Elephas maximus indicus: one gene and its partners. The protein of the gene in region 3 purifies or fractionates together with the protein of the main gene of each other region. This does not show direct contact. Links are inferred from orthologs where the notes say so. Each region holds a gene or a part of one and is shown on either strand. Other genes may lie near its edges. The genes, in order: MTA2, ZNF687, ZMYND8 and TSPYL1.

What was found.
Region 1: the proteins of ZMYND8 (region 3) and MTA2 purify together in Homo sapiens (affinity purification with mass spectrometry; 3 studies listed by BioGRID and IntAct, with this or other methods). This does not show direct contact. The link is inferred for Elephas maximus indicus from reciprocal best matches to the Homo sapiens genes ZMYND8 and MTA2.
Region 2: the proteins of ZMYND8 (region 3) and ZNF687 purify together in Homo sapiens (affinity purification with mass spectrometry; 4 studies listed by BioGRID and IntAct, with this or other methods). This does not show direct contact. The link is inferred for Elephas maximus indicus from reciprocal best matches to the Homo sapiens genes ZMYND8 and ZNF687.
Region 4: the proteins of ZMYND8 (region 3) and TSPYL1 purify together in Homo sapiens (affinity purification with mass spectrometry; 4 studies listed by BioGRID and IntAct, counting the BioPlex papers as one, with this or other methods). This does not show direct contact. The link is inferred for Elephas maximus indicus from reciprocal best matches to the Homo sapiens genes ZMYND8 and TSPYL1.

What each region holds. Positions count from the first base shown.
Region 1 is NC_064825.1:125,784,567-125,792,037, reverse strand, and holds the start of MTA2 (metastasis-associated protein MTA2), read left to right. Parts: upstream 1-4,469; 5' UTR 4,470-5,031; coding exon 5,032-5,059; intron 5,060-5,797; coding exon 5,798-5,865; intron 5,866-6,180; coding exon 6,181-6,274; intron 6,275-7,471. Other genes in the region: EML3 (echinoderm microtubule-associated protein-like 3), read left to right, coding at 1-121, 570-721, 803-928, 1,013-1,144, 1,773-1,840, 2,309-2,397, 2,469-2,566, 2,671-2,758 and 3 more. UniProt on the Homo sapiens protein: May function as a transcriptional coregulator. Acts as a component of the histone deacetylase NuRD complex which participates in the remodeling of chromatin.
Region 2 is NC_064821.1:185,323,285-185,330,948, forward strand, and holds the start of ZNF687 (zinc finger protein 687), read left to right. Parts: upstream 1-4,664; 5' UTR 4,665-4,767; intron 4,768-4,870; exon of another isoform or gene 4,871-4,974; intron 4,975-7,664. UniProt on the Homo sapiens protein: May be involved in transcriptional regulation.
Region 3 is NC_064843.1:22,008,112-22,015,060, reverse strand, and holds the start of ZMYND8 (protein kinase C-binding protein 1), read right to left. Parts: upstream 3,018-6,949; 5' UTR 213-3,017; coding exon 106-212; intron 1-105. UniProt on the Homo sapiens protein: Chromatin reader that recognizes dual histone modifications such as histone H3.1 dimethylated at 'Lys-36' and histone H4 acetylated at 'Lys-16' (H3.1K36me2-H4K16ac) and histone H3 methylated at 'Lys-4' and histone H4 acetylated at 'Lys-14' (H3K4me1-H3K14ac).
Region 4 is NC_064819.1:182,883,871-182,891,809, forward strand, and holds the start of TSPYL1 (testis-specific Y-encoded-like protein 1), read right to left. Parts: upstream 3,013-7,939; 5' UTR 2,929-3,012; coding exon 1,603-2,928; 3' UTR 1-1,602.

The DNA of each region.
Region 1 (7,471 bases), on a different chromosome or scaffold from region 3:
GTCCCTTGCTTTGTGTTCCTCCCTGATGGAGACATTCTTACTGGGGACTCAGAGGGGAACATTCTTACCTGGGGGCGGAGCCTCTCAGATTCCAAGACCCCAGGCAGGGGTGGGGCCAAAGGTATGTGGTTGGTGGTGGCACCTGGGAAGTCCTGTACTGCAGAGAGCCTATGGGACCAGAGGAGAGGGTTTCCCATCTTATTACCTTGAGACTTGATAGTTCTGTTTGGAGGCTCATGGGAGGACTCTGGGGGGCTGGTCTAAGGGTAGGGGATGGCGTGGCAAAGGGAAAGGGCAGAGACTTTGGAGTTTGCCACCTCCTGGGTTCAAATTCCAGTTCTGCTACTAGTGTCTGGCCTTTGGAGAATTACTTCATTTGAGCCTCAATTGTTTTGTCTGTAAAATGGGGAGAATAGTAGCCATATTGGCAGCCATTAGGATCAGAGACAGTATTCAATAGGCACCCAACAGCAGGGAGTTACTACCTTCTATTGTGATGGCCCAGGCTGCCTCTGCTTCCTACTCTCCTGCACCCCAAGAGCATGACCCACCTGGGGTTTTGCCAACAGAGACCTACGGGATTGTGGCCCAGGCCCATGCTCACGAGGGCTCCATCTTCGCCTTGTGTCTTCGGCGGGACGGGACAGTGCTGAGTGGTGGTGGGCGGGACCGCCGGCTGGTACAGTGGGGGCCTGGACTGGTGGCCCTCCAAGAGGCTGAGGTAAGGCTGGGCTGGGGGCCACAGAGGGAGGGCAAGAGGGATGGCCTGCTGGGCCCTGAGTTTTTGCCATCCCCTCTGCAGATTCCTGAACACTTTGGGGCCGTACGGGCCATTGCTGAGGGGCCTGGCTCGGAGTTGCTGGTGGGGACCACAAAGAATGCATTGCTGAGGGGGGATCTGGCTCAGGGCTTCTCCCCTGTCATCCAGGTTAGGGGGCCAAGCGCTCAAGGGAGGAGGGAGGGAAGAGCAGTTGGGGAGGGGCCAAGGTGACAGCCCCATGCCCTGCTGCAGGGTCACACGGATGAGCTCTGGGGGCTCTGCACACATCCCTCCCAGAACCGCTTCCTCACCTGTGGCCATGACCGGCAGCTCTGCCTGTGGGATGGGGAGGGCCACGCGCTGGCCTGGAGCATCGACCTCAAGGTAGAACCCTGTGTCCCTGGATCCCCTACCTTTATGACCTTTATGATTTCCGTAATCTCCTTTTTTCTGCTCTTGGAGGTAGCCAGCTTGGACTGGTATAGCTGAGCTGGCTATTAAGGTATTAATCCCTCTGTACTGGTTGGTACAAGCTGCTGCCTTTAGTGCCCTGGCCTCTCCCCTGAGGGACCTCTAAGACCTCCCTTTGATTCAGCAACTAAGAGGTTAATTTCTGGCTTTGTAGTTTGCCACCTGCTGGGTTCAAATCCTAGTTCTACTACTAGTGTCTGGGCTTTAGGGAGTTACTTTACTTCTTTGAGCCTGAGTTGTCCTGTCTGTAAAATGGGGAGAACAGTAGCCATGTTGGCATCCACTAGGATCAGAGACAATATTCAACAGGCACCCAACAGCGGGGAGTTATTACCTTCTATCGTGATGGCAGCAGGCCTCAGTTAAATATTTTGAGTATCACCCCTTGTTTAGGCTCCAGTGACACCCCTATCCTATCCCAGGCCTATTGGCCCTCTCCTCCCCCATCTCCTCCTTGGGAGGAAGAGGCTTTGACAAGATGTCGGTCCTGGTTCCCTCACTTGAAAGGCATCTTCTTGAATTTAGCTTCTCTCCCTTCCAGGAGACTGGTCTCTGTGCTGACTTCCACCCCAGTGGGGCAGTTGTAGCCGTAGGACTGAACACAGGGAGGTGAGAGGGAGTTAGCACTCCTGGGAGGGGAAGCAGGGAGGTATGGGGAGGTGTTCTGGAAAGGGGGAGTGGAGGAGACAGACCACTGCCTGCTCAGGAGCCCCAACTGCGTGTTCCTACCGCTCAGTCCTTCTCACACTTTGGGCCTCCCTTGCTCTCTCGAATAACTGTTGTCTCCTCCAAGCTGGGAGTAGAGGAGGTTGCAGTCCAGGGTAGACAGGCTGAGGGGACTGGAGGGAAGACAGACCCTTGTAGTGGGCCCCTGGTCTCTAGTTCCTGACTGCTTTCTGAGAGGATGCTTAGCCCTTTCCCACTTCCCAGCATAGGAAAGCAGTGGTGGTTTCTCTGTCTACATCCCAGCCTTTCTGTGGGCTTGTCTGAGGGTCTCCAATTTGCCAACTCCCACCCTGCCCAGGCCAGCTCCCTGGGTGTCTCCTTACCCCCTGCCTTTCCCTCCCTCCCTTCCAGGTGGCTAGTTTTGGACACGGAGACCAGAGAGATCATGTCTGATATCACTGATGGCAATGAGCAGCTCTCTGTGGTCCGGTACAGCCCAGGTGAGAGCCATCCCCACCCTGGCCCCAGACCCCTCTCTGGCCTCCTCCTCTCTGAGTGACTGTCTTTGCAGATGGGATGTACCTGGCTATTGGTTCCCATGACAACATGATCTACATCTATAGCGTTTCCAGTGATGGCGCCAAGTCCAGCCGCTTTGGCCGCTGTGTGGTGAGGAAGCTGGGGTAGAGGGTGGGGTGTTGCTACAGCAGATAGACTTGCGGGGCGGTCAGGAATAGTGGCTGCGTTTTTAACCTCTTGACCCTTGCTTGCAGGGTCACTCCAGCTTCATCACTCATCTCGACTGGTCCAAGGATGGGAACTTCATCATGTCCAATTCTGGGGACTACGAGATTCTTTACTGTGAGGGGCAGCAGGGGAGGGCATGGGGAGAGGGTAACTGAGGTGGGTGTTACTTGTGTGTGGGGGTTCCTGGTTGGAGGGGATGAAGGAGAATGGGTGGGGTGCTCCAGGCAGCTCCAGGCTGTCAGACAGGGAGGTGGAGATGAGGCTGAAGTGGGGGCAGAATAATACACAGGAGAAATTTCTTGTGATTTGGAAAAACATAGTTTTATACTACATTGTGTTCCCACATGAACTTGAGGGATTTGAAAAATACACTAAGATTCCTGCAGAAAAGTTTCTCAGGACAGGTGCAGAGAGATTGATTTATCTAGGGAGCAGAAACTGAGGAGAAAGGGATAGAACTCAGGAGCAGGAGACTGGGGAGGGTTGCTTCTGGCCAGGTGGCTACCATGATGATCAGACCACAGGGCCACCGCCTCAAGCCAGCCTCTCCAACCTGGCCTTCCGGGGCATCTTCCCGCTGTCTGGGCCGAGGGCAGGGTGAGACTGAGCTGGGTGGGCTCCCCCTCCCCAGGGGATGTGGCTGCAGGCTGCAAGCTGTTGCGGAATCGCTACGAGAGCCGAGATAGGGAGTGGGCCACCTACACCTGCGTGCTGGGCTTCCATGTTTACGGTGAGTAGGAGCGCAGGGGCGTGGAACCCTACGGGTGGGGTGGGGCGGGGGGGAAGGACAAGGTGGAGCCCGCCTTGGGCTCAGAATGCTGGGTGTCTGTCCAGGGGTGGGGGTCAAGAAACCAGCAGATCCTGCTTGGGAGGCCCCAGGGGGTCCTGGGGCCCGGGAAGGATTGCCTGGAAGGCAGCCGGTGGGTGGCGTGAGTGCCCGAAACGGTACCGCGTTGGGTCGTGGGTGGGTGGCAGCTGGGGGGGGGGGGGGGGCCGGGCTGAGGACCGCCGCTGTGCTAGGCGTGTGGCCCGACGGCTCGGACGGGACCGACATCAACTCCCTGTGCCGCTCCCACAACGAGCGCGTGGTGGCCGTAGCTGACGACTTTTGCAAAGTGCACCTCTTCCAGTACCCGTGCGCGCGCGCCAAGGTGAGGCGGGCGGGACCCAGAGCCGGGCGGGCCGGGGCCGGGCGGCCGCCGCCCCTGCAACTCGGCATCCTCCCGCCAGGCGCCCAGCCGCATCTACGCGGGCCACGGCAGCCACGTGACCAGCGTCCGGTTCACGCACGACGACTCGCACCTCGTCTCGTTGGGCGGCAAGGACGCCAGCATCTTCCAGTGGCGCGTGCTGGGCGCGGGGTTGGCGCCCGCCACGCCCTCGCGAACCCCATCCCTGTCCCCCGCTTCCTCCCTCGACGTCTGACCGCTGCCGGACCGAGGCGACCGGCCTCTCGGTGCGCCCCCGCCCCAGCCGCATCCCCCAGGACCAGGGGCCGAGCCTTGCCTCGACTTCGAGACATTCCTGAGGCGAACGGACCCCGAGCACACTGTAGAAACCCGCTGGCCGAGCCGGACAGTCCCACCTTGGGCCCCGACTCCCACCGACCGCTGAGGGGCAATAAACCAAACCCAAAGTGGCTTCCCTGTCCTTTTGTGGGGCACGGCTGGGGCGCCTCCGGGCCTTGTGTGGGTGGAGAGGCCTGCGGAGAGGGTATGGGAGGGTGGGCCATTTATGCAAATAAAAGGTAAAGCCGCTTGCAAATAGACGCGTGAAGAGCGAAGCCGCACAAGCCTTTGGCGGCCTCAGGGCTCCGGCGAGGAGAGAGTTAAGCCCAACTCCTCTCCCGCCCTCGGAGGAGGGGCCGAGCTGTAACGGAAATCACCGAGCACCGGGCTGCGGTTGGCCGAAAGGAGCCGAACGCTTTCCGGAAGTAGCCGATCTCTGGGGTCTCGCTCTCCGACCTGAGCCGAGCGCGGGGCCTTGTTCTACCGATCGGCCGAAGGTATTCCGGAAGGAGGCGAACCCCGAGGCGGGCAGGGCAAGCCTTCCTGGCGGCCGGCAGGGCCCAACGTCTGGTGGGGCTTGGCGAGGGCGGGGGGAGCTGGAGCCTGGCTCTGGTCCGGCAAGAGCCGAACTCGTTCCGGAAGAAGCCGACCGGACCGGCGCCGGCCTCGGCGTCCCGGGCGTGAGGCGGTAGCGGCGGCGACAGCGCGGGCCGGGATGAACCGCGACGGCTGAAGCGGCGGAGGCGCCGGTTGCACGGGCCCGACCGAGACTTCCGCGAAGCTCCAGCCCCGCGCCCGGGGCTTCTCCTCGAGCCGAGCCTTGCCCCAGCGAACCTCCCGGACCTCTTTGTGCGGCCGGAGTCGGCGGCGGGAACGGCCATGGCGGCCAACATGTACCGGGTGGGGGGTGAGTACCGGGCGCGGGGGGTGTGGGGCCCGGGGCGGGAAGGGTTGGGGGTCGGGACCCGAGGGGCTCGGCACTTGGCGGCGCGGCGAGCCGCGTCTGGGGCGGCGTGGACCGGAGCACGGACCGGAACCGGAACCAGGAGCGAGAGTGCGGGGACCGCGGCGCGGCCGAGCGCCGAGACCCGGAGAGAGGCTGCGGGGCAGCCCCGACGGCGCTCTCGGGACTGCGGCGGGGGCCCCGGGTCGGAGAGTGGGGCTGGGGAAACTGGCTCCGAAGGGTCTGACAGGACACGCAGGGGGCGCGAGGGGTCGGGGCGACGGCTGTGCCACCTGCGGGGGGACGAGGGAGGGAGGCTCCGCGGAGGGGCGCCCGGAGGTTTCCTGTCCTTGGGTGCTATTGTGCTCTGGAGTGAACAATCGCTCATTTTGCCGAGACTCGGGTGCAACTCCGTCGCGGAGCTGTGCGCTCTGCGGGGAAACCCCTGCTTCTTGTCTCTTTGCGAAGTCTCACTTTTGAGCGAAGGATCTGACTTTGGAACTAGGTGCGGCGGGGGTGCGGAGCCGTCCCCATTTTCTTATTCTCTCCACTGCCACATCTCAGCGTCCTAGTCTCTATCTGGACTCTTTTCTCCTTTTGGCTTACTCAGGTGGACTTTCTCTCCTCCCACTCTGGGGCTCTGGCGCTCCTATCTATCTCCTCCACTGATTTTTCCCGGCTCTCCCCCTTCCCTCCCCCCAGATTACGTCTATTTTGAGAACTCCTCCAGCAATCCTTACCTGGTTAGACGGATTGAGGAGCTCAACAAGGTGAGTGAGCAGAGGCTCTCTGCGCCCCCACCCCGTAACGGGCTCTTTCTTCTGAGGGGTCTAACTTCAGATGAAGAGAGGACCCTAGCTTAAGTACTCATTCATATTCATTCATTCAGTGCTTTCAGGAAAGGCTTATTGAGAGCTTGGTGGGGACTTTACTGTTCTATCTCTTGGGGACAAAAGAAAGGGATTTAGAAGGCTGTCGTTGAATATTGGCATTTCTAGGATCCTTTAGAAGCGTATTTTGTCTTTAGTCTTTGTGAAGTTCTGTGTTCAAATGACCGGTTTTCACTGCCACTTTTTTCCCCCCAGACTGCAAACGGAAATGTGGAAGCAAAGGTTGTCTGTCTTTTCCGGCGAAGGGACATTTCTAGTAGCCTCAACAGCCTGGCTGATAGTAATGCCAGTGAGTGTCTTTAACCCGGAACCCCGCGCTTTTTTCCCTTACCCCATGGTCTGAGGCCTGGGCATGTCCCTGCACGTGCTTCCCCTGGTATCATGCCCAAGGCGGGTGTGAGTTTAGGGGTGGGAGAATGCCTGGTCTGTGGAGGGAGGCCTGTTTTTACATGTTGGTGTTGGAAGCAGGGTGGAGGGACCATGCCATGCTAAGGAAAGCGAGAATATGGTCAGCGTGTATGTGTGAACATGAGATGTGTGTGACATGTGAATGTGAGCGTATGTGTGGGAGAGAGTTGGTAATATTTAAATAGAGGGTGAGGAAGAGCTTTTAGAGAAGTCAAACCCTTGGGACAGCTTTGGCTACGTTGGGACAGTGGGTAGTGGCTGAGAAGGGCAAGGTGAAGAGGAAGAGGCTGTAAGTGCCGGCCTGCAGAACAGGGAAGGAGGCTCATCTTGTGATCACAAGGTGGTGAGAATACACTGGAGGAGAGAATGGGAAGCTAGGAGAAAGGAAGATGGCAGGAAAGTTTCTTGTACTTTTTCTCTTATGTTTCCTTCTCTACGCCATTTTACATCGTTCTGTTTTCTTTTTGCCTAATTTTCCTTCTTTAAGCTTTCATCTTTACATATATATGATTATGTATGTATGTATATGTGTATATATGTGTATATATGTATATAACCCAGTGCTGTCATATATGTGTATATGTATACATATGTGTATGTGTGTATATGTGTATATTTGTATGTATGTGTATATATGTGTATATATATATATGCTTCTGGGTTTTCTGTTTTCCTTAGCTTTTTTTTTTTTTTCCTTGCTTTGGTTTTCTTTTCCCTTACTAGATTATTTTCCTGTTTTCAGGCTGCTTTGGGCATGAATGGGTTAATGAAGAGCTTGGTTTACCAAGTTCCCTGGTCCCTTTGGGGTTTCCAGGGCCATCTGGCAGGGGCTGACCTTGGCCTTGTCCAATCAGAAGGGGTGCAGGGGGTGTGGTCCCCTTGCCTTAGCACCGGTTTCCGGAGCACATAGGGGAGGGGCGGAGCCTGGGAGGGGGTGCCCTTCTCCCTGAGGTTGGAAACAATGCGCCAATGAGCCGGGGCCTGAGGCTTTTCTGCCCCTCCCCCTTTGGATGGCTCCCAGCCAAGTTAACCCTTTCCACCAACGTTTGAGGGCAAGCTGCAGCTCCTTGGGGAGGAG
Region 2 (7,664 bases), on a different chromosome or scaffold from region 3:
TCTCTCATTGCACGTCCTCTTCTGAATCTGGCTTGAATTTCTGGCAGTTTCGTGTCGATGTAATGCTATAACCACTTTTGAATTATCTTCAGCAAAATTTTACTTGTGTGTGATATTAATGATATTTTTTGATAATTTCCACATTCTGTTGGGTTGCCTTTGGAATGGGACAAATATGAATCTCTTCCAGTTGGTTAGCCAGGTAGCTGTCTTCCAAATTTCTTGGCATAGATGAGCGGGCACCTCCAGCACTGCATCTGATTGTTGAAACATCTCAATTGGTATTCCGTCAATTCCTTGAGTCTTGTTTTTTGCCAGTGCCTTCAGTGTGGCTTGAACATCTTTCTTCATTACCATCAGTTCTTGATCATATGCTACCTCCTGAAATGGTTGAACATCATCCAAGTCTTTTTGGTATGGTGACTATTTCTTCCACCTTTTTTTTTTTTTTTTTTTTTTTGATGTTCCCTACATTATTCAATATTTTGCCCATGGAATCCTTCAAAATTGCAACTCTAGGCTTGAATTTTTTCTTCAGTTCTTTCGGCTTGAGAAATGCTGAACGCGTTCTTCTTTTTTGGCTTTCTAACTTCAGGTCTTTGCATATGTCATTATAATACTTTGTCTTCTCGAGCCACCCTTCAAAATCTTCTCTTTAGCTCTTTTCATCATTTCTTCCATTTGCTTTAGCGGCTCTATGTTCAAAAGCAAGTTTCAGGGACTCTTCTGACATCCATTTTGATCTTTTCTTTCCTGTCTTTTTAATGACCTTTTGCTTTCTTCATGTTTGGTGCTCTTGATGTTATCCCACAACTCTTCTGGTTTTTGGTCGTTAGTGTTCAGTGTGTCAAATCTGTATTTTTTATCGTGCTTTAGGTGAAAGTTTAGAGCAAATTAGTTTCTCATTAAACAATGCACAGATTGTTTTGTGACGTTGGTTGGCAATCCCATAATTTGTCCACATTCTCCCCATTTCTACCTGGGGTTCCCTGTTTCCATTCGTCTAGTTTTCCTGCCCCTTCCTGAGTTCTCATCTTTGTTTTTGGGCTGGTGTGTCCATTGTCCATTTAGTCTTGTATATATGATTGAAATATGATGCATGTTCCTTACATGTGTTATTGCTTCCCTTATAGACCTGTCTAATCTTTGGCTGAAGGATGAGCCTCGGGAGTGACTTCACTACTAGGTTAAAATGGTATCTGCGGGCCATACTCTTGGGGTTTCTCCAGTCTGTGTCAGGCCAGCAAGTCTGGTCTTTTTTTTTTTTATATAATTTTTATTGTGCTTTAAGTGAAAGTTTACAAATAAGTCTCTCACACAAAAACCCATATACGCCTTGCTACACACTCCCAATTACTCTCCCCCTAATGAGACAGCCCGCTCTCTCCCTCCACTCTCTCTTTTCATGTCCATTTCACCAGCTTCTAACACCTCCACCCTCTCATCTCCCCTCCAGGCAGGAGATGCCAACATAGTCTCAAGTGTCCACCTGATCCAAGAAGCTCCCTCCTCACTAGCATTCCTCTCCAAACCATTGTCCAGTCCAATCCATGTCTGAAGAGTTGGCTTCGGGAATGGTTTCTGTCCTGGGCCAACAGAAGGTCTGGGGGCCATGACCACTGGGGTCCTTCTAGTCTCAGTCAGACCATTAAGTATGGTCTTATGAGAATTTGGGGTCTGCATCCCACTGCTCTCCTGCTCCCTCAGGGGTTCTCTGTTGTGTTCCGTGTCAGGGCAGTCCTTGGTTGTAGCCAGGCACCATCTAGTTCTTCTGGTCTCAGGATGATGTAGTCACTGGTTCTTGCGGCCCTTTCTGCCTCTTGGGCTCGTAATCACCTTGTGTCCTTGGTGTTCTTCATTCTCCTTTGTTCCAGGTGGTTTGAGACCAATTGATGCATCTTAGATGGCTGCTTGCTAGTGTTTAAGACCCCAGAAGCCACTCTTCAAAGTCGGATGCAGAATGTTTTGTTAATAGATTTTATTATGTCAATTGACTTAGATGTCCCCTGAAACCATGGTCCCCAGTCCCTGGCCCTGCTACGCTGGCCTTTGAAGCATTCAGTTTATTCAGGAAACTTCTTTCCTTTTGGTTTAGTCCAGTTGTGCTGACCTTTCCTGTATTATGTGCTGTCTCTCTCTTCACCTAAAGTAGTTCTTATCTACTATCTAGTTAGTGAATGCCCCTCTCCCACCCTCCCTCCATCCCCTTTCTTGTAACCACAAAAGAATGTTTTCTTCTCAGTTTAAACTATTTCTCAAGTTCTTATAATAGTGGTCTTATACAATATTTGTCCTTTTGCAACTGACTGATTTCACTCAGCATAATGCCTTCCAGGTTCCTCCATGTTATGAAATGTTTCACAGATTCCTCATTGTTCTTTATCGAAGCGTAGTATTCCATTGTGTGAATATACCATAATTTATTTATCCATTCATCCATTGATGGGTACCTTGGTTGCTTCCATCTTTTTGCTATTGTAAACAGTGCTGCAATAAACATGTGTGTGCATACAAGGTCTGGTCTTTTTGTGTGTGTGTGAATTTGAATTTTGTTCTACATTTTTCTCCTACTTTGTTAGTGACCTTCTATTGTGATCGCTGTCAGAGTGGTCAGTGGTGGACGCTGGGCACCAGTTGTTCTGGGCTCAGTCTGGCAGAGGTTGTGGTAGTTGTGGTCCAGTAGTCCTTTGTACTAATCTTTCCCTTGTGTCTTTGGCTTTCTTCATTCATTTGCTCCAGCTAGGATGGGATCGGTAGATGTATCTTAGATGGTCGCTTGCAGGGTGTCAAATCTACTCTTGAGATGGTCTCCAATTTCAGATGGAATATACTCCAGGTCATATTTTCATTCTTGTGGACTTGTTTTAATTTTCTTCAGCTTCAACTTAAACTTGCATATGAGTAATTGATGGTCTGTTCTGCAATTGGCCCCGGCCTTGTTCTGACTGATTATATTGAGCTTTTCCATTGCTTCTCTCCACAGATATAGTCCATTTGATTCCTGCATTATCTGAGTAGTATATGAGGAGTAATCATTATTATTCCATACAGGAACACCCAGAGGAGGAGGTGGGAATGGAATGCTGGTCGGCTATAGCCAGTAAGGGGCTCTAGTTCCTTGTTCAGGGGCAAAAGTCTGTAATCTGGAACAACCGCAGCCAACCTCACGAAAGAAGGCAGCGGCGTGGGCATGGGGGGCTGCTAATCTCATTTGCCAATCATTTTATAAAGCTCTTTTACATTTAAACTCTTTTAATCCTTACAAAAACAATTGTCAAGTGGGTATTATAATCCCCATTTTACTCATGAGAAAATAAGTTCAGGGAGGTTCAGCGACTTGCTCGGTGGCCCCAAGAGTCTGATCCAGGAGCTCTGATTCACACCTCAATGCAGTCTCCATTACCCACGTAAACTTTCAGGGCGCGCCTAAGAGTCCTGGGTGCAGTGGTCCTGGGGACCCCCCCGCCCCGGTCCACAAGCGGGGCAACAAAACCACCTTGAATCCCCAGGCCCGGGGGTGTGAGCCACTACCTTCGCGGCTGGCTGCGGAGGCTGGTAGGCAGGGTAGACTGGGCTTGCAGATGAATTCAGTGACTTCTCCATAGAGACAGTCAAGGCGATTCATTTTCGGAGTAACTCCGCCCCTTCCCCCGCCTCCAGGAGGCGGGGCAACAAAGCGCGGGAAAACTCTGCCTCGGACCCCTCCCTCCCGTGCTAGAGGTGGGGAAAAGAGAGCTCTTAAACGGGAAATGGATGTGTGCGTGTGGGGGGTCCCCCGTTCCATGCTTAGGAGGTCTGTCAGTACGTCACTTTAAGTATGCCCCTTTGGAAATGGCCCAGGCCACGCCAGCACTCCAACGTCACCTCTTCCCCACTTCCGGTCTCCGCACTGGTCCCAGGTTTCAGGTCCTCTCTCCTTCCACACTCCAATCCCGCCCTCAATCCATGCCCTCCCGCAGGGGGCGGAGCTATGGGTGATGCCATCCCCGGGAACCGGCGCGCGCGGGGCTAGGGGCATGAACACCCATGTCTTTCCGGACTGTAGGATAGTTTAGACAGTGGAAAACCGCGAGGAAATGGTCAACCAGATGACGTAATGTTTTGGGTGACGTCTCAGTCTGTGATTTCATGAGCGGCACGATTGAGAAAACTGTGCAAACAGATCTACACATCCGGGCCCCACTCAGAGTCGACAAGGCTCTCCTCAAAGTGCCCACCAAATCGAAGCTGAGAGTTTTCTCAATATGGATAAGTGAACTGCAGGCTTAAAGGATCGCCACCAATGGGGAGTGAGGGGGCGGAGATGCATCTGGGATAGTCACCTCCTCCAGTAGGAAAGCAGGGAATCAGGTTGGCTTTTTCTAAGCGACAGCGGCAGCTACCAATAGTTTTTGAGGTGCACGGATGGGGCAGTTGGGCCTCGGAACAACCAATGGGGAGCGGCATCTTCAGAGGGACTAGGCACCTTGCCCAATGAGGATGAGCGGACTGTGCGGCTCTGGTTACGAGCGGCAGTACTTAAGGCCAATCCTGCCCGGGGCTGGGCGGGACGCAGCACTGATCGACGGAGGTGCTACCCAATGGCGAGTGTGGAAACGGGCAGCCCAGACCCGGAGCGCGGAGGGAGCTGAGGGAGGGGGGCGGCTGAACCGGAGAGAAGCAGGAAGTAGCGGCGGCCGCGGGGAGGGCGGCGGCGGCGGCGGCGGTGGCTGCGGCTGGAGCAGGGCAGAGACCGCCGGGTCTCGGCCCGCACTAGGAGCGGAGCAAGTAAGCTTGCCTGGGGTAGATACCCGCTCTTGGTCCCGCCCCCTGGGGGGGCGGGTAAATGCCCCCGCCCCTCCCCCACCTAGTTAACTGCCCCCTTCCCCGCACCGCCCCCCTGGGGCGCCCTGTAGGAAGGCCCTGGCGCCGCCTCCATCCTTTGGGGCGGATGGGCGAAACTCCCAGCCTGTTGAAAGCACAGCCCCTAGCCGGGTAAACATGGAGGGAGGGTTGGGGACCCCAAGTCCTGGAGCCCCCGGCCCGAGCGGCGCCCGGAGCGCGGCCCGGGGACTGGAGGCTGCGGGATGTCGCGACCTAAAATGGTGTCCGTGCCTGCGGGTGGGGGCGGGGAGCTGGGCCAGGCCGGAGCCGAGCTGCACCCCGACTGGGCGCGGGTTAGCGCCCCGGCCCAGGCAGGAGTCAGGCTCGCGCCCCGGGCCCGCCGCGCGCCTCTGATCACTCCCCACTTTCGGGAAAGCCTCCAGGAGCCCGGGCGGCGCGGAGCTGCGCTGCGCAGGGTGGGGAGGGCAGGAGGTGGGAGTTGGGACGGACCCCGGCCGGAGAGCGGCGGGTCCCGCAGAGGGTCCCCTCCCGGTTTCCTTTCCTCACCCTCCCACCCGTCGTCCTGGGCTCGGGGGTGCTGCGCCGCAACTCCCAACGGGCCTGGCTTGTCTGCGGCCCGTCCTTTCGCACGTCGGTGGGGGTGAAACGCTGCGCGCCTCAGTTTCTCCTGTAGCTTTTTCTGCACACAACCCGCCCCCTCCTCACCACCCCAGGCGTGCTCACGGCGTCGGCCCTCGGCAGATGGCAGGGACTTAATTCCGCCCGCTGCCCAGCGTGGCTGCAGCCTAATCGCCCCCTGGCCGCCGGCCCCTCGCCCTCCCCTGTCAGCGTAGGCCCCAGGCCCGGGCAGAGGGCTTTGGAGCCCCCACCGGACCCGAGCCAGTTCACCCTCTTCCTGTTCAGCTTCTTCCTTTGGTTTTTGGGGAAGAACATAGGGAAAGGGGGTGGGGGGCAGGAGCCCAAAAGATAGGGCTCAGCAGTCGCAGAAAGGCCTGGCCTGAGCCTGGGCCTCGGGGTGAGGTAGCCTCCTTGGCCTTGAGCTGGGCTGCTTGGTTGTCTGTCCGCTGTGGGTGGCCATCGGATGACCTCTAAGTTGCTTGGACGCCAAAGGAGGAGGTGATCAGGGGAGGCAAGTTAGCAGGTGTTTTCGCATAGTCCCCACTGGTCTGTGCTCACCAGCCCACTTTTCTGAAGGCCTGAGTGGAAGCTTGTACAGGCCTCTCCAGGTCTGGAGAGAGCCAGGCAGAGCAGGGCCTTGGAGGCCCTTCAGGGTAGAGGTAAGGGATGAAGGGCTTTGTTTAAACCCAAAGTCTGCAGAATTGGAGTGGGGGTGGAGGTGGGGTGGAGGGAGGATTCCTCTTTCTGCCTCTAGTTGGTACCCCCTCCTCCCACCCCCACCTTGGTCCTGGCAGTGCCAGCTGCCACCTGCTGGGACTTTCTCCAGTTACAGTCTAAAGGCTGGAAAAAGGTGAGAGAATTGGCCCTGGGAAATGGCTCTCTTGGGCAGGGAATATATAAGGAGAGGGACTTCTTCAGTTACTTTTTCCTGGCTATAGAAACTCTGGAAACCCTGGTGGCGTAGTGGTTAAGTGCTACGGCTGCTAACCAAAGGGTTGGCAGTTGAATCCACCAGGCGCTGCTTGGAAACTCTACGGGGGCAGTTCTACTCTGTCCTATAGGGTCGCTATGAGTTGGAAAAGACTTGATGGCACTGGGTTTGGTGGTTTTTGGTATAGAAACTCTTGTAGGAGTTTAGTGCCTCATAAGTCTTGTGGGATTTTTTTTTTTTTTTTTTTGTATTGGGCTAGGTTGGGGTTGGGTGAGACTTACTGGGCAACCGTTGCCAAAGGAAAATTAAAAGGGTGAGGAGTTTGAGTTAGGAGATAAACTGGGGTGAGGAGCTCAGAGCTGAAATTAGAGGAGCAAAGGAGCCTGGATTTCTCCGTTGTGATTGCTGGATAAGGCTGCACCCTGGAGTTTTAGCCCTGAGAGAGCAGGGTGGGGAGGCAGGGAGGGCGGGCTAGGGAGAGTCAAGGTACTCTGGGGAAGGTCCGTGAGCGAGCAGCAGGTGTTTGTGACTGGAGAGGCACAGGCTGGGGCCCTTGTGACCAGGCTGCTGTCACCATTTTCCCCTCTGTCTCCTCTTTGTCTCTTTCTCTTTCTTTGTCTTATTTCCTTCTTGGTCTCTTGAGTGATTTCCCTGAGTCCATTTCTCCAGTTGGTCTGTTGATCAATCTAGATCTCTAGGTGTCAGTGAAGACCCCAGCTGCCCTAGACTTGACCTTAAATGACCCTTGGCTGTTGTCTGTGACCCTGGCCGTGGATTTCCAGTGCCTGTTCCTTCTCAGCTCTTCCTTGACCTGACATGTTCTAATCTGACCCAGCTGCTGTAATAATAAACCACTCTCGGGGTTCTAATGCTTAACATTTACAATTTCATATCATGCTCAAAATGACCCTATGGTGTATGGATTACTTGTCCCTTCTTTCAAACAGCGAGAGTAAGATAGTGAAGGAACATGCTTATACAGCATACCGGTGATAAAATTGTAACAAGGAGTTGCTTACATCTTTGGTTAAGTCGGAAACCCTGGTGGCGTAGTGGTTAAGTGCTACGGTTGCTAACCAGCAGGTCGGCAGTTCAGATCAGCCAGGCGCTCCTTGGAAACTCCGTGGGGCAGTTCTGCTCTGTCCTGTAGGGTCGCTATGCACTGGAATCAACTCGACGGCAGTGGGTTTAGTGGCTTGCTTAAGTCACTGCCCCCTTGTACATATGGCTTTTCAGATCTCTGTAGACCCCAAAAGATCCAAAAAAAAATATCGTTCATGCTGGCATGAAT
Region 3 (6,949 bases):
AAAGCCGCCAGTCCTAAGACAGTTAACACCAAGGGAGGACAATCCGAGTCTGCAGAGGAGAAACACAAGGAAAACACTCATTTAACCAATGCACAGGATACTCACAAATTAGATTTCTGTCCACCCCAACAGGGCCCTGAGAAGGAACAAAGGGGTTTTGCAAAACTCACTTTCCGGGCCCGAACTAAGAGCCTAAGAGTGGATAATATCATTTATGTTAAGGAGAACACAGGTCTGAGGACTGGCCTCAGGACTTTTCTGCCGGCATGAGTGGAGAGTTTCAAGGTGACTGCTTTTTTAGCTCCAGGGGTGAAAGGAGGGCATGGTGCCCACCGCTGTGCCAGAGCCAGGACGGGATCCTGGCGTCGCGCCGGCCGGTAGGTAGGTAATCTTGATGGGGACAGACAGCCTGGCAGCGCTGCTAGCTGCAGAGGCTGACATGGCTCCTGCAGGCTTGTTTGTCTGGAAGGAAAGTGGGGAGGAGGGGGAAGGGCAATTGCAGCCTTAGCAACCTGAAGCCAAGGGTGAATCCTCACTGGGTGTTGTATTTTATGGGCAACCAAAGGGATTCTAAACATATTCCCTTAATAAATCTCCGCTGGGGGAGACCGAAGGCACCTTTGCATTTTTTTTTTTTTTAATTCCCACGGTCAACCAGAGGCAAAACTGGATCTAGGGTTCCTATGCTGACAAATGATTGCTGCCTCTCCCCCAGGAGAGAAGAGGAAAGAAGGCAAGAGAAACAAAGACAGCACACAAGTAAAGTGGCTGGACTTTAAAAACCTACCTTTGCCTTCAGGGTTTTCTGGGTTATTGTCATCCCGCTTTTTAAAAAATGATTTATTTTCCCCCTCTCCTCTTTAAGAACTGAAGCAGTTTCCCCACTGTTCTCCAAGGGAAAGAAAGGGGGAATGTCTTGTTTAAAAGAAAAACGGGATACAAGAGAGAAGAGAGAAAAAAAAGCTATTGTTTTCATCCCTAATTTATAATCCAAGAGGCTCCATTGTTTTTCTCTTTCTGACTCAAATCTTTGAACTGTTAATTATAAAAGTAACTGGACTTGGCTCCAGTGGGCTATGTTCATGCTCAGCAATTAGAAAAACTCTGCAGAAAGTTTACTGAGTGATTATATATAATTAATTCCTAGTTACAGACTGAACGCTGACCATTTTCTGGAGCTAATAAGAGCAATTGCTTCCCCTCCCCCACGTGAACGCCACTTAATTTCCCAAAGCAGAAAAGTGAATCCATCCAGGAGGGTCTTGAAGGAGAAAAAAAAAAAGAGAGAGAGGAATCAAAAGCTCCAGTGTGTCTGCGTTTGTTCCTTGCAGCTGTGCATCCTCTTTGGGGACTGAGGAGGCAGAAGGGAAAGAAAGAAAAACAGCCCAGCATTGTTCCTCCGTCTGCAACTTACAAACGTGGCGGAGAGACCATTCTACCTGGATGTAAAAAGGAAAGGGGAGGGGTGCCCTAGGAATCAGGGAGACTCTCTTGAGTTTGGATCTGCTTTTCCTAAAAGGAACAAAGACGGTAGAAACTTCCAGAAGGCCCATTCTCAGTTCAGCCACTGCAATTGTCAATCTTTAACCTTTCCTCCAAGTCTATTGGTTCAAAAGCTAGAGAGAGGAACCCCATTGGGCTGCTCTCTGGGAGCCGGCCTTGCTGCCCCTACCTAGCCCTGCTGCAATGCAGACATTTTTTTTTTTTTCCCCCTTTAGTGCAAATGGAAAACAATGCTACTTTGAAGGCAATTAACATTTTTTTTTTTTTTTACAGACTCATACTTGGTGGTAGCCACAGTACCAGAGGAAAGTGGCTAGCTTGGTCCAGGGCTGAGAACTTGCTGGGACCCTGGACTTCTGAAAACAAATCTTTGCTTTCCAAACCTGTGGGAGCCATTTTAATGCAAGCTTTTAGAGGACAAATGCCTTGTCCTTAAGTTGCCTTCCAGCCCAACAATATTACGCAAACGTTGAAGGCACCAAACCAGAAGTCTTGTGATTAGATATTGCTTCTAAGGAGGCCACAAGAACCTCGATACATAATTTCCATTTACAGAAGATAAGAACAAAGGAAAAAAGCTAAGTGTCTCAACTTACTTGTACGGGGGTCTGTTCAATTTCAAGTATTGAACATCATGAACTGCCTGCATTTTTATTTCAAGAAGCTGGCCTGCCTCACACAGTCTTTTCTCAGCTTAGAATTTGGTACATTTCTCCTTATTTCCAACTGGTGCTAAAAGGTGGGCTGGTGGACACTAACTTAAAAGAAAAGGAGTATTGTCTCCATAAAGTTGGTGTAACACAGCAACTAAATATATTTCCAGCATTTACAGTCACACTGGATTGGTGGCCAAGCTGGAAATTTTATGGAGTGAGCTTCTAGGGAAATTCTGAAGATAACGCTAAACAAGAGTCTACTTTTTTCACTCTAAGTTCTAGCTACAGCATTAAGCAATGAGGAGAAATGTGAAAAGTGAGAAATAATAAGTAAAGCCAAGCTTGCATACTGATGTGTGGGTCAGGCTTGGCAAAGGGCCGGAGTCTAAGGAGAGTCCTGAATCAAACTGAGTTTGGTCCTGGGGGGCATTTCTGCACTACACGTAAGTATCCTAAAACCTAAGTACTGACACCACCACCTCCAACTCCTGCCCCACCAATGTTTAGGGCTCTGTGACTATAAGAACAAACACATTTATTTACATTTCACAAGCAGATCACCTACCCACAGTTCTCATATCCAAACAACCCCAATTAAAGGTCTAGAATCAAGTCACAATGAACTGAACATTTCTCCCCTGGCTAAGGGTAAACAGGAAGTGTAATCTTCAGTCCTATCTGTAGGTTATCTGGAAAAACAGTGGATTCAAACAGTCACCTAAAATCCAAGACACTATTAATAAAAAGTCCTCATTTTGTTCGTGGGAATAAAGCCCCCAGTTGCTGGAGCCAAGGCCCCCTGATTGCAAGCAGACCCCCAATGTTTCCAAAACTCTTTATCCATGGTCACAGAGGAAATGGATTGCTTTACTTACCCAACAAATGTTCAAGCAACCGTCTCATTTTTCCACAGTTAGGAAGAAGAGAACAGGCTGGCAGATTTGGGACTTGATCAAAAAGGAAATTTTTTTAAACAGTTACATGGTATTATTAAACACACACACACACACACAACACAACAACTGAATATGGAATGCTGTCATGAGCCACAGACATGATTTTATTTCCTCTGCACTCTGTCACAGGGGAGGGCAGAGGATGATACAATGTAAAAAAAAAAAAAAAGGGAAAGGAAAAATGAATACAAGGACAAAAGATACATTAGTTCATTGAAAACCATGCAAGAGTAGAAAGCCAAGGGATTCAAAAAGAGTCCTCACAGATTTATTGCAGGATGTTGTCCAACACCCCACCACCACCACCACTCCCCCATCCCTACTCCAAAAACTTCCTCCAACGCCTAGAAAACACTTTAAGAAACATTTGCTGGCTGTAGGCTGGCTTGCAGAAGAACACTCTGAACTAACCTAAGTCAGGAAAAAAGGCTGAACAAGGTAGTTTCAAGGGAAGAAGCCCTGAATGAAAAGACCATACTGCAGACACCACCACCCACCTAGGCCCCAGGAGGGCTCCCATCTCGCCTTAGCATGCTCTGCTGAGGGTTTGGTTCTTTTAAAAACACACATCCTGGCTTGTCAGAACTTCAGTCAAGCCTTCCCAGAACCTCTTTGGAGAGGTAAACTTGCCTGCTTTGCTGTCTGCCATGAGCTCCCCTTGGAGGGAAGCCTGCTTGCTTACCTTCCATATTCTTCCCCCAGCAGGCATGTGACACAAGAGACAATAATACAGGGAGAGAAACTGCTGAGAGAGAGAAAGAGAGAGAAGAGGGGGGAAAAAAGCTTCTTTTTTGACATACCAGGATCTAGCTTCAAACTATTCCCAAAACACCTTGCCCTAGTGAAAGGCAAGGTGTGCCAGGCCCTTGCCAGTTTGCAAAATCAAGCTATGGCTAATGGCTACTGAGCCATGTGACCCAAGGCAACATTAAAAAAAAAAAAAAAAAAAATCTCTCTAAACAGTTCCAAGTTAACCTAAGTGCTCAGGGGGGAGTGTGGCACGGCCAGCCACAGAGAAATCACACTGCTCGCCCACAATTCGGATGTCTCAGAGGGAGGGGGAAAAAAGATGGTTAAAAAGTCGAGCTTACCTCTGTGGATGCATTGTTAACACTGTGTAATGTCAATACTTATAAAACATGGAGGACAGGCTCCTAGTTCTCACACAGAAAAAGGGTTTGGCACTTCGGCTTGATGATCTGGCCGCCTAATAAAAGCTCATCCCCGATTGGCTGCCCGGGCAAATCGGAGTGTAAAGCCGCCCCGGATTGGCTGAAACACTTCCTGAGCGATTATCTTTGTGAGGCTCTGGTGAGCAAGAGCCATCCTGTGCATAGAAAAAGACAGGCTAAGCTAGGCCTTTTGCAGCAAGAAAAACTTGGGAAAGGGGCCCCCAGACGCACTTCTCCCACACCCTGGCTAGATTTCCCGGCACGGGCAAGCCAGTGCAGCCAGCCTGACCTGCTCCAGCAAAGCCTGAGGCCCGGATGCCACTGGAAAGAGAGTTTTTGGGGTGAGCTGAAGGGCTCATCCTCACCTGCCTCCACAGAAACGGCCCTTTTCTGGGAGGAAGGCTGGTCTTTTTCTAGAACAATGCAGCAGAATGGTTCTCCAAGGGGGAAGCTGAGGAGGGGGGAGCTCCAGGAAACAACCCAAGGGGGCAAGAAAGCAAGGCTTGAGGCAGGCCTCTGAGGAGCTGAGGGAAAACAGACAGGCAAACCCCAAGAAATCATTAAAAAGCAGCCATGGCTTCTCAGAGGAAAGAGGATTCTGCTGGTGAGAGAAGGAAGGGAAGAGAGTGGTCAAGTTTGCACAGTCATGGTCAAAACGCCTCCTGGAAAAGCAGGCCAGAGAGCCATTTTCCCGGCGGGGAATCTAACATCTCACCCCCTCAGCCAGTACAAAAAGGAAAACCAAAATGGGTTCCTGCCTCCCTGCCAAGCTGCCAAGAGGGGGCCGCCTCTCAGTCCTTACCCTAAGAAAAGCCAAACGCGCTCCTAGCAGGCCACATGCCTAGTCTACAAACTTCCCTTCCCCTCCCGGCCCCCTCCCCCACCGCTGAGGCCTGCTAAACCTGTCAGTTAAACAAAAATCTGACTTCCGTATTAGTCTGCGATGCCTTCAGCTTCCTGCCTATTAACCCTCTCTCAGACTCTGGGCCTGGCTGGGAAAAACTAGGCCCTGAGATAGCAGAGAAGGCCTGTGGAAAAATACCAGCTGCAGCTCTCCCGGCAGATGCAGAAAGAGAGAGAGAGAGTGGTGTCTCTTGCCTTTGCTTCCCAAGGAGGCGTGTACCTTCTGAATCCAGGGCACAGGCAGTGCCTCTCGGTCTGAGAAGCCATTTAAATCCACAGGGAGAAAGAGAGATGTCAAACTCAGCGAGGGAACAAGAAACCCCATTATACATCAGGCCTACACCCTCAGGTTCGCCCTTTCTGGCACAATCACCCCTGTATGTATGTTCTTGGGGAACTGAGCCCACGGTGGGCAGCCAAATCCCATGAGCTTTATAAGGATTCTTGCTTCAATTTATTTCCACAGAGAACGGCTTCTTTTCGTCCCCTAAGGCAGATGGAACAGCTATTTCACACACGGCCCCACACTTGGCAGCCCCCCCATCTCTGGCACTGCTCCCCAGTAAAATATTAACTACTTTCTCAGAGCTGCTTATAACTCTACCGATTTCAATAGTATTAGAAGGTCTTTGGCAGTTTCCTCCCTAAAGCTCCCTTTGTAGTTAGGCTGTAGCCTGAGAAAGAAAAGGCAAATCCAAAAGGACCTTAAAATGTCCACCCTATCTTTCCTCTTTTTTTTTTTTTTTTTAACGACAAGGTGCTTAACTAACAAGATTTTTTAAAACAGGAAGCTGGAACAACAGAGGTGACGCAGCCATATGCCACGAGGTAAAGCTACAGAGCAAAAAAGTCTCCTCTGTCCTAAAATTAGCACCTGTGGGCTTCCTAGCCCCACACTGTTCCCACAAAGAAAGAGAACAGCTCATCTCTTGTTCTCCCTGTTGCCCCCCACCCCCGACCCCATGGACAACAGAAGCTCACCGCATGCACATAAATTCTTGCTAGCTGGGAATTATATCCAGCAGACTTAGGGACATGCCAGGAATTGAAACACACAACCGCAGGGCAGGAACCAGGCTTTGTGAAAGGGGACAGGGTTTTGTTGGATTTTAGGCTGCAAAGACCAAGATGCAGGGAGGGACAGCTCCACCAAGACCTGGCCTGACAAAGGTCTAGCACTCCAGACAACAGGCCAGGCCTCACCACAAGGCGGGGAGCCTACTCTTCCTGGGGATGGGCACGTGCATAAAGAAATCAAATGGGGGGAGTGCTGAGAGGCGGAGGCCAGAGCTAATGAGCCTGTGCTCTCTCCTGTGTGGGCATACCACCACCATCCCATATTGGATACTGTTTGTCTCTGCGGGCGCTGCTTGTGGGGGAAGGTACAGGACTGTGAGATCGTGGCAGATTTTGTGTGCAACTCCACGGCCCTATCAGGAAATGGAATACGCGGCTGGTGCCCGCGGTAGATTTTAACCCAGGGATTAAGCTTGTTGCCTAAGCAGCTGCAGCATCCTCCCCCTCCCTCCCTCCCTCTGATCACTTGATCACTTGAAATGTTTTCTGGGGCAAAGAGCAGGAAGCTGCTGGCTTATTCTGGCAGCCCTGCTCTGTTTGAGGAATGCTGCTGGCATCCGGGTAGGTCTGAGGTTATCTGGGAAACGGCAATTGGGACGGAGACAAAGGTATGGTGGCAGATGGAATCCTGGGAGGGATAGGATTGAAAAGGCAGCCTGAGGCAAGCCTCCTAAAGACCACT
Region 4 (7,939 bases), on a different chromosome or scaffold from region 3:
GTGTCTGACAAGACCAAGTTATTCGAACTATATTTCTAAGGATACAGCTTTAACAGAAATAAGATGACAACTGCTACAAATATTCAAATAAGTTTCTAATATTGTACATGAAAATAAGGTTGATATGCTTCCAAATGTTCCCAACTGAAAGCAAAAGAAAGCCTGTACAGCTCAATTATTCCAGTAGGTAGAAATAAAAGGTAACAGCATTTTATATAATACTGAAATAAAAGGAACAGTATTAATCTTCAACATAAATAAGGTCACATGAAAGAAAGAAAACACCTGAAGTTGCATCGTTTCCTTAAAGAACCCTACTCTAAAAAAAAAAAAAAAAATGTATTATTTAACACTTCAATTCTATCCATCCCAAACCCGAGAAAAGTATTTCTCCTCCCATCACCCCTTTCTCAAAGGCTCTGTCAGTTCAATCTTAATTCTAGCCCCAATTCTGTAGCTCATTTCTGCCTCTGGCCTTTTGTTTGGTTTTTGCTGCTTAGAGCATCCACCACAATCTCTTAAATTCTTCCACTCTAAACTAGAAATCATCTTTCATTGTATTTAGATCTCTCTCTAAAAAGGGAGACATGGAGTTGGAAAGACAGTACAGGGGCAATAAGAATTCTGGCAGTCTATTTTATAGGACAACCTGTTTCTGGAAATGACAGCCAAATTAAACTAAAAAGCCTGCTTTTACAGATTTTTCTCAGCTATCACTTTTTTTTCTTTTAAAGAGAGAGAAAAAATTTACTGCTACCCTGAAACTTATCATGTTCAGGATGAGGAAGGGAAGCAAATAAAGGTACCTAGGTTTTGTGAATTCACTGGTTGAGGTTGAGAAAGCCTGGTACTTGGAAAGGACATCATCCTCACCTTTGCCATGAGGATGACTCTAACCATTTGTGTAAGAGTCAATAGGGTTTCTGGAAGATTGGGGGGTGGGGGTGTGAGGAATTGAGGCATCTTTTGTGTGCTGGCTGGAAACCTGGGTCCACCATCAGTTTTGAAGATCCTTGTTTACTAGAAATCAGACAGTGAGGCTGACAACAGTCTAGAAGGCGATTGTTCAGAAGGCTGCAGCCAAGGAGAGGGGGCATAGTCAGGAGGAGGCAGCAACAGAAAGTGACAAGTAGGAAGACCAATGGAGTCACACAAACCAAGTAGCCCACTGCTGCTCTCCCTTGACATCATTAACACCCAGCCAATTGTCCAGAGGCCATGTGCCTTGACTGCCAGATGCAGAGCAAGGTGTGTAGGAGCCAAAGCTAGAAATGCAGGTGGTGGTAGCCAGAGCCGAGACCCCTGAAATAAAGAAAGTCCAAGCAGTGCAGATAAAGTGTAATCTACGGCATCTAGTGCTTGCCTTGGAGTGGTGTGAACCATGGCCACGCAGTATGTGGTGTTAATACAAGAGCGGGTGAACAGCACAAAGATCGCGTTAAAGTGGAGGAGCATGAAAGTCTCAATCTGGAGGCTGAGAGAGCTGAATGTCCAGAGGGAAGGCGCAGAAAAATCAGCACAGAAAAAGTAGAAAGCATACCCTTGCCGTTGCCCAAGCACAGGTCTGGGGACCCTGTGCTAGAGTATTTCCAAGGACAAAGGTTAACCGGACTGGAATCCAAATGGCCTGGGGATCTCCACTGGCTCCCTTATCAGGCGACGTCTGGGTCTACGGGCCCCTTCACGCAACAAGTAGTACTTAAGTGGATCTGGCCACAGGTCCTCTTTGATAATCTCAGCAATCCTGTCAGATTCTGGAAGGCTATGGTCTGAAAACCAGGTGAAGAAGCTGCAGACTGTATCTTGGTTCCTGCGAATGAAGGACTGGGGTTCATGGCCTCTGCGCCAGATGATGGGAGTGGAAAGAGACACCACTCGGCCTGAGGATCTGACCTCATATTCCTTGACAATCAACTTGTTCCTGAAATACGGGTTTCTTCGGAAGAAGAACTTGAACTTGCAGCCCGTCCTAGGGTGTCTGAGCTCCTTCACCTCCAAATTGGTTATGTACCTTAGCATCTCTGCATCTTGGCCCCTAATCATGGCGGACAGCTGGGGGTGGTTCCGAAAGGCGGTGCCCCAGAAGCCGGGGATATTCTGAATGATGTAGTTCCTGCGCTCCAGGTAGTGTCGACGCATCCGCCCAAACTTCTGCTCCAGCTGGAGGAAGGCTCTGTCAGCCTGAGCATTCACAGTGTCCAGTTCCTGCTGAATGGCCTCTAGAGGGTTCATGCGGAGATCCATATTCAGGGGCCGGGGTCTCGCTTCCTCTATCACTCTATTTTCCTCCACCACTTCCATTTCTTCACCTACTGGCTTCTCTTCCATCTCCATCTCCTCCTCCACTACCTCCTCATCCATTACTCCTTCCTTCTCCATTTTCTCTTCCACCACCTCAGCCCTCTCCTCCTCCACTGCTACTACCAAGATGGCGCACGTTTCAGTCTTTATGTCCTTGGCCTTCGCCCCAACTATCGCCTCAGACTCGGAGCTCCCTTCGTCACAGGTTTCTAGGGCCTTCTTCCCACCAGAGCCGCAAGGCTCTCCACCCAGACAGTCATTTTTCAGGCTGTTATCAGTTGCCACGGAGGCAGAGGCTGCTTCCAGGCTCTCTGTGGGAGGCGGAGCCTCTTCGTTCCCCGCTGTGGTCTCCAGATGACTGCGATCTCCACTGACTCGAATCCGGGAAGTGTCGCCACAGGCCGCGGGGTCCCGGGGTGCGTCCCTCTCCTCTGGAAGCTGGGGTGGTGGGGGCTCAACGGTCTCCAAGCTGCTCTTACCCGTCTCCGCCATCATCGCCGTCGCCTCGGTTTCTCCTCGGAGGCTCTCGCAGTGGTGTTGGTCCGGGTTTCCTGGGGCACGGTCGGGAGTAGTGATGCTGCAGACTTCGGAGACAGGGGTCCTCTCGCCTCCATCCAGGCCGCTCATGTTGATAGCTGGCGACCCTCGGCTAGCGGGCGACGGTTTTCCTCAAAGAAGCCGCACTCCAGACAAACCGGCCGTTCGCACCACCCACTCTTAGTCTCGCGAGCTTTACCTTGGCGATGACGTCAGAGCTGAAGGCTCTCGCCACAGCGCGAGACTCGCTGAGCCCCGGGGTTGGGTCCGCCGCTGCTTATTGTTGAAGTGTACTAGCGTTAATCAGTTGGATTGGTAATTTGGTTTAATAAACGTTGATCTGCACGATATACATAAATATCCAAAATCAAAACCAAACCTCCTGCTTTGAAGTAGATTCTGATTCATAATGACCCTGTAGGACATAGTAGAACTGCCCCATAGGGTTTCCAAGGCTGTAATGTTCACGTAAGCAGACTAACACTTTTTTGCCTCACACAGCGAAGGGACGCAGCGCTTTAACCACTGCACCACCGGGACTCCTTCCCATATATATATAAGGACTACAAAAATGAGGATCTCTGAGTCTGAAGGCAGTGAGACCGTCCCTGCGATGTATCTGGAAACTCCTTCCAGCCTGTAACTGGCACAGCTCTGTACTGCTGTACTACGTCTGAAAACATTATTTTTCCAGTTTTCCTTTTTTTTTAGATAGGGAAATAAATATATCCTTTGTTATTCCATAATGGCTAGAAACAAAAGCTTCACTTTTAACTAAGTGGGTAGCAAATTGTTTCTCTTTTCTCAAGTAGGAGTGGCAGGAAATATAAATTCGAGCCTGTAATGTTACTGGGACAAAAAGCTACTCAGAGGTTTTTTTTTTTCTTCTTCTTCTTCTTTTTTTTTTTTTAAACTACTAAAGTGATACATATTGTTTATTGTCAGTCCTTAATTTATAATCTGCATTCAAGAGATTATGCTGCATAAGGTCTGCAGGCAGGAAGCCAGGAACAATTTGCTAAATGTTACTCCATGGTCTCTTCCTGCAGGAAAGAGGAAATGATCAGCTATTTCCAGCCCCATAAACGGTTAATGTATTTAGTTCTATAAAGTAAGAAAGGTTGACTGTAATGAAGTATCTTTTCAGGGCAATCAGCTCATTGAGTTCATTTGAGAGGGATGTCAGTGTCTTTTTGGATGTTTTAGTTTGTTGGCTTGTGAGAAAAACTGGCATCTTAGAGTTATAAACCAAACCCACTGCTGTCCAGTTGATTGCGACTCATAGCGATGCTATAGGACAGAGTAGAACTGTCCCCTAGGATTTCCAAGGTTGTATATCTTTACGGAACCAGACTCACATCTTTCTTTCCTGGAAGCTGGTGGGTTCGAACAACCGACCTTTCAGTTAGCAGCCCAGCTTGTAACAACTGTGCCAACAAAGCTCGTCAAAGTTGTAAGCTATCAGAGAAATACCGATGGGGGGTGGGGCATCCACCACCGTTTTTATGAGGAAAAAAAGAAAAACAGGTTACAATGTGTTACCACAATGGCCTTGAAGTAGAAAACAAACTTGCAGAACTTAAACATACAGCTAGTTGATTTAAGATGTAGAAATGGCAATTTTCCCCCTATTTTCTTTGCCTGTGTGTTAGGCTGACAAATAATGGCCCCCAAAGATGCCTTCGTTCTAATTCCTAGAACAAAAGGGACTTGGCAGATATCGTTAAGTAAAGGAGTTTGAGATGGGAAGATTATCTTGGATTATCTGAGTGGGCCCAATGTAATCACAAAGGGTCTTATCAGAAGAGTGTCAGAGTCAGAAGGAGATGTGGTGGTGGAAGTAGAGGTCAGGAGAGAGAGAAAAAGATTTGAAATGCTATGCTGTAGGCTTTGAAGATGGAGGAAGGACCAGCAGTCAAGGTATGCAGGCAGCCTCTAAAAAATAAACAAAAATAAATAAAAAATTTTTTTTTTTCTCTAGACACGGGAAAAGGCAAGGAAACTGATTCTCCCCTAGAGCCTCCAGAGGAGTGCAGACCTGTCAACGTACGGATTCTAGGACTTCTAACCTCCAGAACCGTAAGATAATAAACTTGTATTGTTTTAAGCCACTGGGTTGGTGGCAATTTGTTACAGCAGAAATAGAAAACTAGTACAGCTTGGATTGAAGTTTGATTGAATCTGCTTGCCTCAATTTTTTTTTCTAGCAGCAGGTTCTGCAACCTTGCTGGTTGCTTTCCCTGAGATCCTTCCTGACAGCTGGGATTTATAATAGCTTGAGGCACTGGGTGGGAGTCTCTTTTTGGACATTGGGGCCATAAATGTACTTAGGCAATACACAGAAAGACAAAATTAAAACCAAAACCTACAAAAAAAAAAAAAAGATATTTGAGAAAATACTGTGAGCTCTAGGAAGACAGGGACATGGTTTTGTTCACTACTATGTACCAAATGCCTGGCACAGTGTTCCATACGTTATAGAATGTTAAATGAATTAGCAAACAAACAGAACACAGTTTCTCTTGCCTACAACTTTGGGTTTGCAAAAGAGAAGTGAGGGGCACATGAATTGTCACCCCGCTCTCCAGCTGCCACTGGCAAACCAGAGGACCAACCTACTGTCGGCAGTAGCAAACTCCTAGCCGGGAGAATGAATTTCTACATATGTATCAAAGCCTGGGAAAACAATTTGTTTTATAAATAATTTACATTTGTGTGGTCACACTGCATGACAAACAAACTCTGAAAGGTGTTTACATAGCAAAGCAGCTTCCAACTACCAGCACAGCATTTCTCTTCTTCTGATTCTTCTCTCCTTTCTGTGCAAGCGAAGGGAATGATTCCAGGCCTTACTTCTTTTCCCTCTGCAAGAAATGGATAGCTCCTTCGATGCATGGCTGAAATTACTTTTAGTAGAGATAAGAATGAATAATGGAACTTTCCACAAAGCCCACTTCTTTTTAATTGTATGAAATCATCTTCTATCTTGGAATGGAAATAATTTAATTTGCCCTAAAGTGGAAACTTTTACTGCTGTAATATACTTTTATTTTAAAGCAAAAAGTAATAGCAGACTTTCGCCAGTCGTAGAAGATACTGCCTTATTTGTCCAAGTCACCATTAGGATTTCTGAAAGCGTAATTAGCCCTCTAACTGATAATGTTAGGAAAGATTCCAATTACGGATGGTGTTATGTTAATGTAATCAGGAGTCTGCTGAATGTAATGTCCCCAGATAAGGTTAAGACACTTTGGAGAATTGCATCCTACTCTTCCTGTCAGTACATTTGAAAAAGCTGTGATACAGAATATTTCTGTATTTGAATGAATAAATACAGAAAATGAGGAGACACATTTCTTTGAATTTTAATTATCTGAAAATCACAATAGAGAAATGATTATGATTTTAACTCTTCATTATAGATAATGGAGAGCCCAGATTCTAATAACTTTTAATTAAACAACTGCAGAGGAGATGGGCCACTGAGAGGCAGATATTTAGAGGGAAAAGCAGGTTTGCATACTCTGTTCCCTTTCTTTTCCTAAATTATTTTTTGCATGGGTGAAGAAGGTACTTTCTTGGATTTTAACCTGATCCAAGATTTATGTGCTTAGGGGGAATTATTTTACCCTGCAGGAAAAAAAAAATGTGGTTACTATTTGCCACAGATAATTATTGTAAAAGGGATATTACCTGTGGATTTTTTTTTCTTAACATTTTATACCTAAAGTCTTAAGAAGGAGATGTGTGTCTTTTTCATGACACAGGTTAATCTGTTCTTTGAAACGTTATCTTTTTAGGCAGATCCTGTCCATTCTCCAAGACCGAGCATAAACCTGTCTTGCTTTAGAATGTGCTAGGCGTTTTATGTGCATGAAAATTTTAAATTTTATAAAAAAGGAAATAATAACTCTGAAAGGTTAACTAACTTAACCAAGATCATTCCTGTAAAAAAATAAAAATAAAAAATAAATTTTTTTTTTTTTTTTTTCCTGTAGTAACCGCTAAACTCCTCCTCCCTCTCCTAGATGCAGCTTTCCTGGACCGCTCTGCAGTTCACTGAGCTTCCTAGAGCTCTTTTATAAGGTTTACCACGCAATGTAGCACTTAATTATATTCCTCCTCTTAGTGACTGTTCCATACATGTCAGTCTCATCATCCCAGCATTTCAGCATCTTCCCAAGGGATGGGAGCACTGTAGCTTCTTCTGTTGCATGTACTCAGCATAACGATAACAATATCTGATGCTTTGAATAAAATAGAACCTGAAATGATCCTACAAAAACTAACAATGTGTCTACATTGGCATTTTATTTTATTTGAAGGAGGGATATGTATTTTGGCCATGTTTTATACATTACCTTTTAGTACTTTGGAATATAGGCTATATCTGTATATGACAGAGCATTTCTGTGGCAATTGGCAATAAACCAAAAGGTAGTTGAACAGATTGTGGTTCTTCAGGAAAACATCCACCAAAAAAAAAAAAAAAATGACATGAAGCTATTCTCCGTCATATCGAGGAATCATAGAGTCTTCAGCAATGATTTCTCGGGTGGCAATCAGTTTAGCAGACATTATTGTTTTGCAGAAGGATATGTTTCCTGGTTGTAATTAATGATAGCTTTCATTTATTTAAAACCTGTTGGCGTAGTGGTTAAGTGCTACGGCTGCTAACCAGAGGGTCGGCAGTTCAAATCCGCCAGGTGCTCCTCAGAAACTCAGTGGGGCAGTTTTAGTCTGTCCTATAGGGTCGCTATGAGTCGGAACCAACTCGACGGCACTGGGTTTTGGGTTTTTTCATTTATTTACTACTTTTGGTGTACTAGTACTGTTATAAGCATGATCACAGGTATTTTCAGCTTTTATAAGAACCCTGTGGGGTAATGCTATTTTGACTGTTATTTTCCTCACTAGGTAACTGAGGCAAAGAGAGACTGAGACACTTAGCCAAGGTGATGTACAAAGTGACAGACACATGATTTGTACCTAGGAAGTTTGACTCAAGAGGCTTTGCTACCCTCTCTAAAGAAAAAAGTGAAGTCACTTTCTTAAGAGTGTAAGACCATCTTTATTTAATGTTAAATTGACACACAATTTT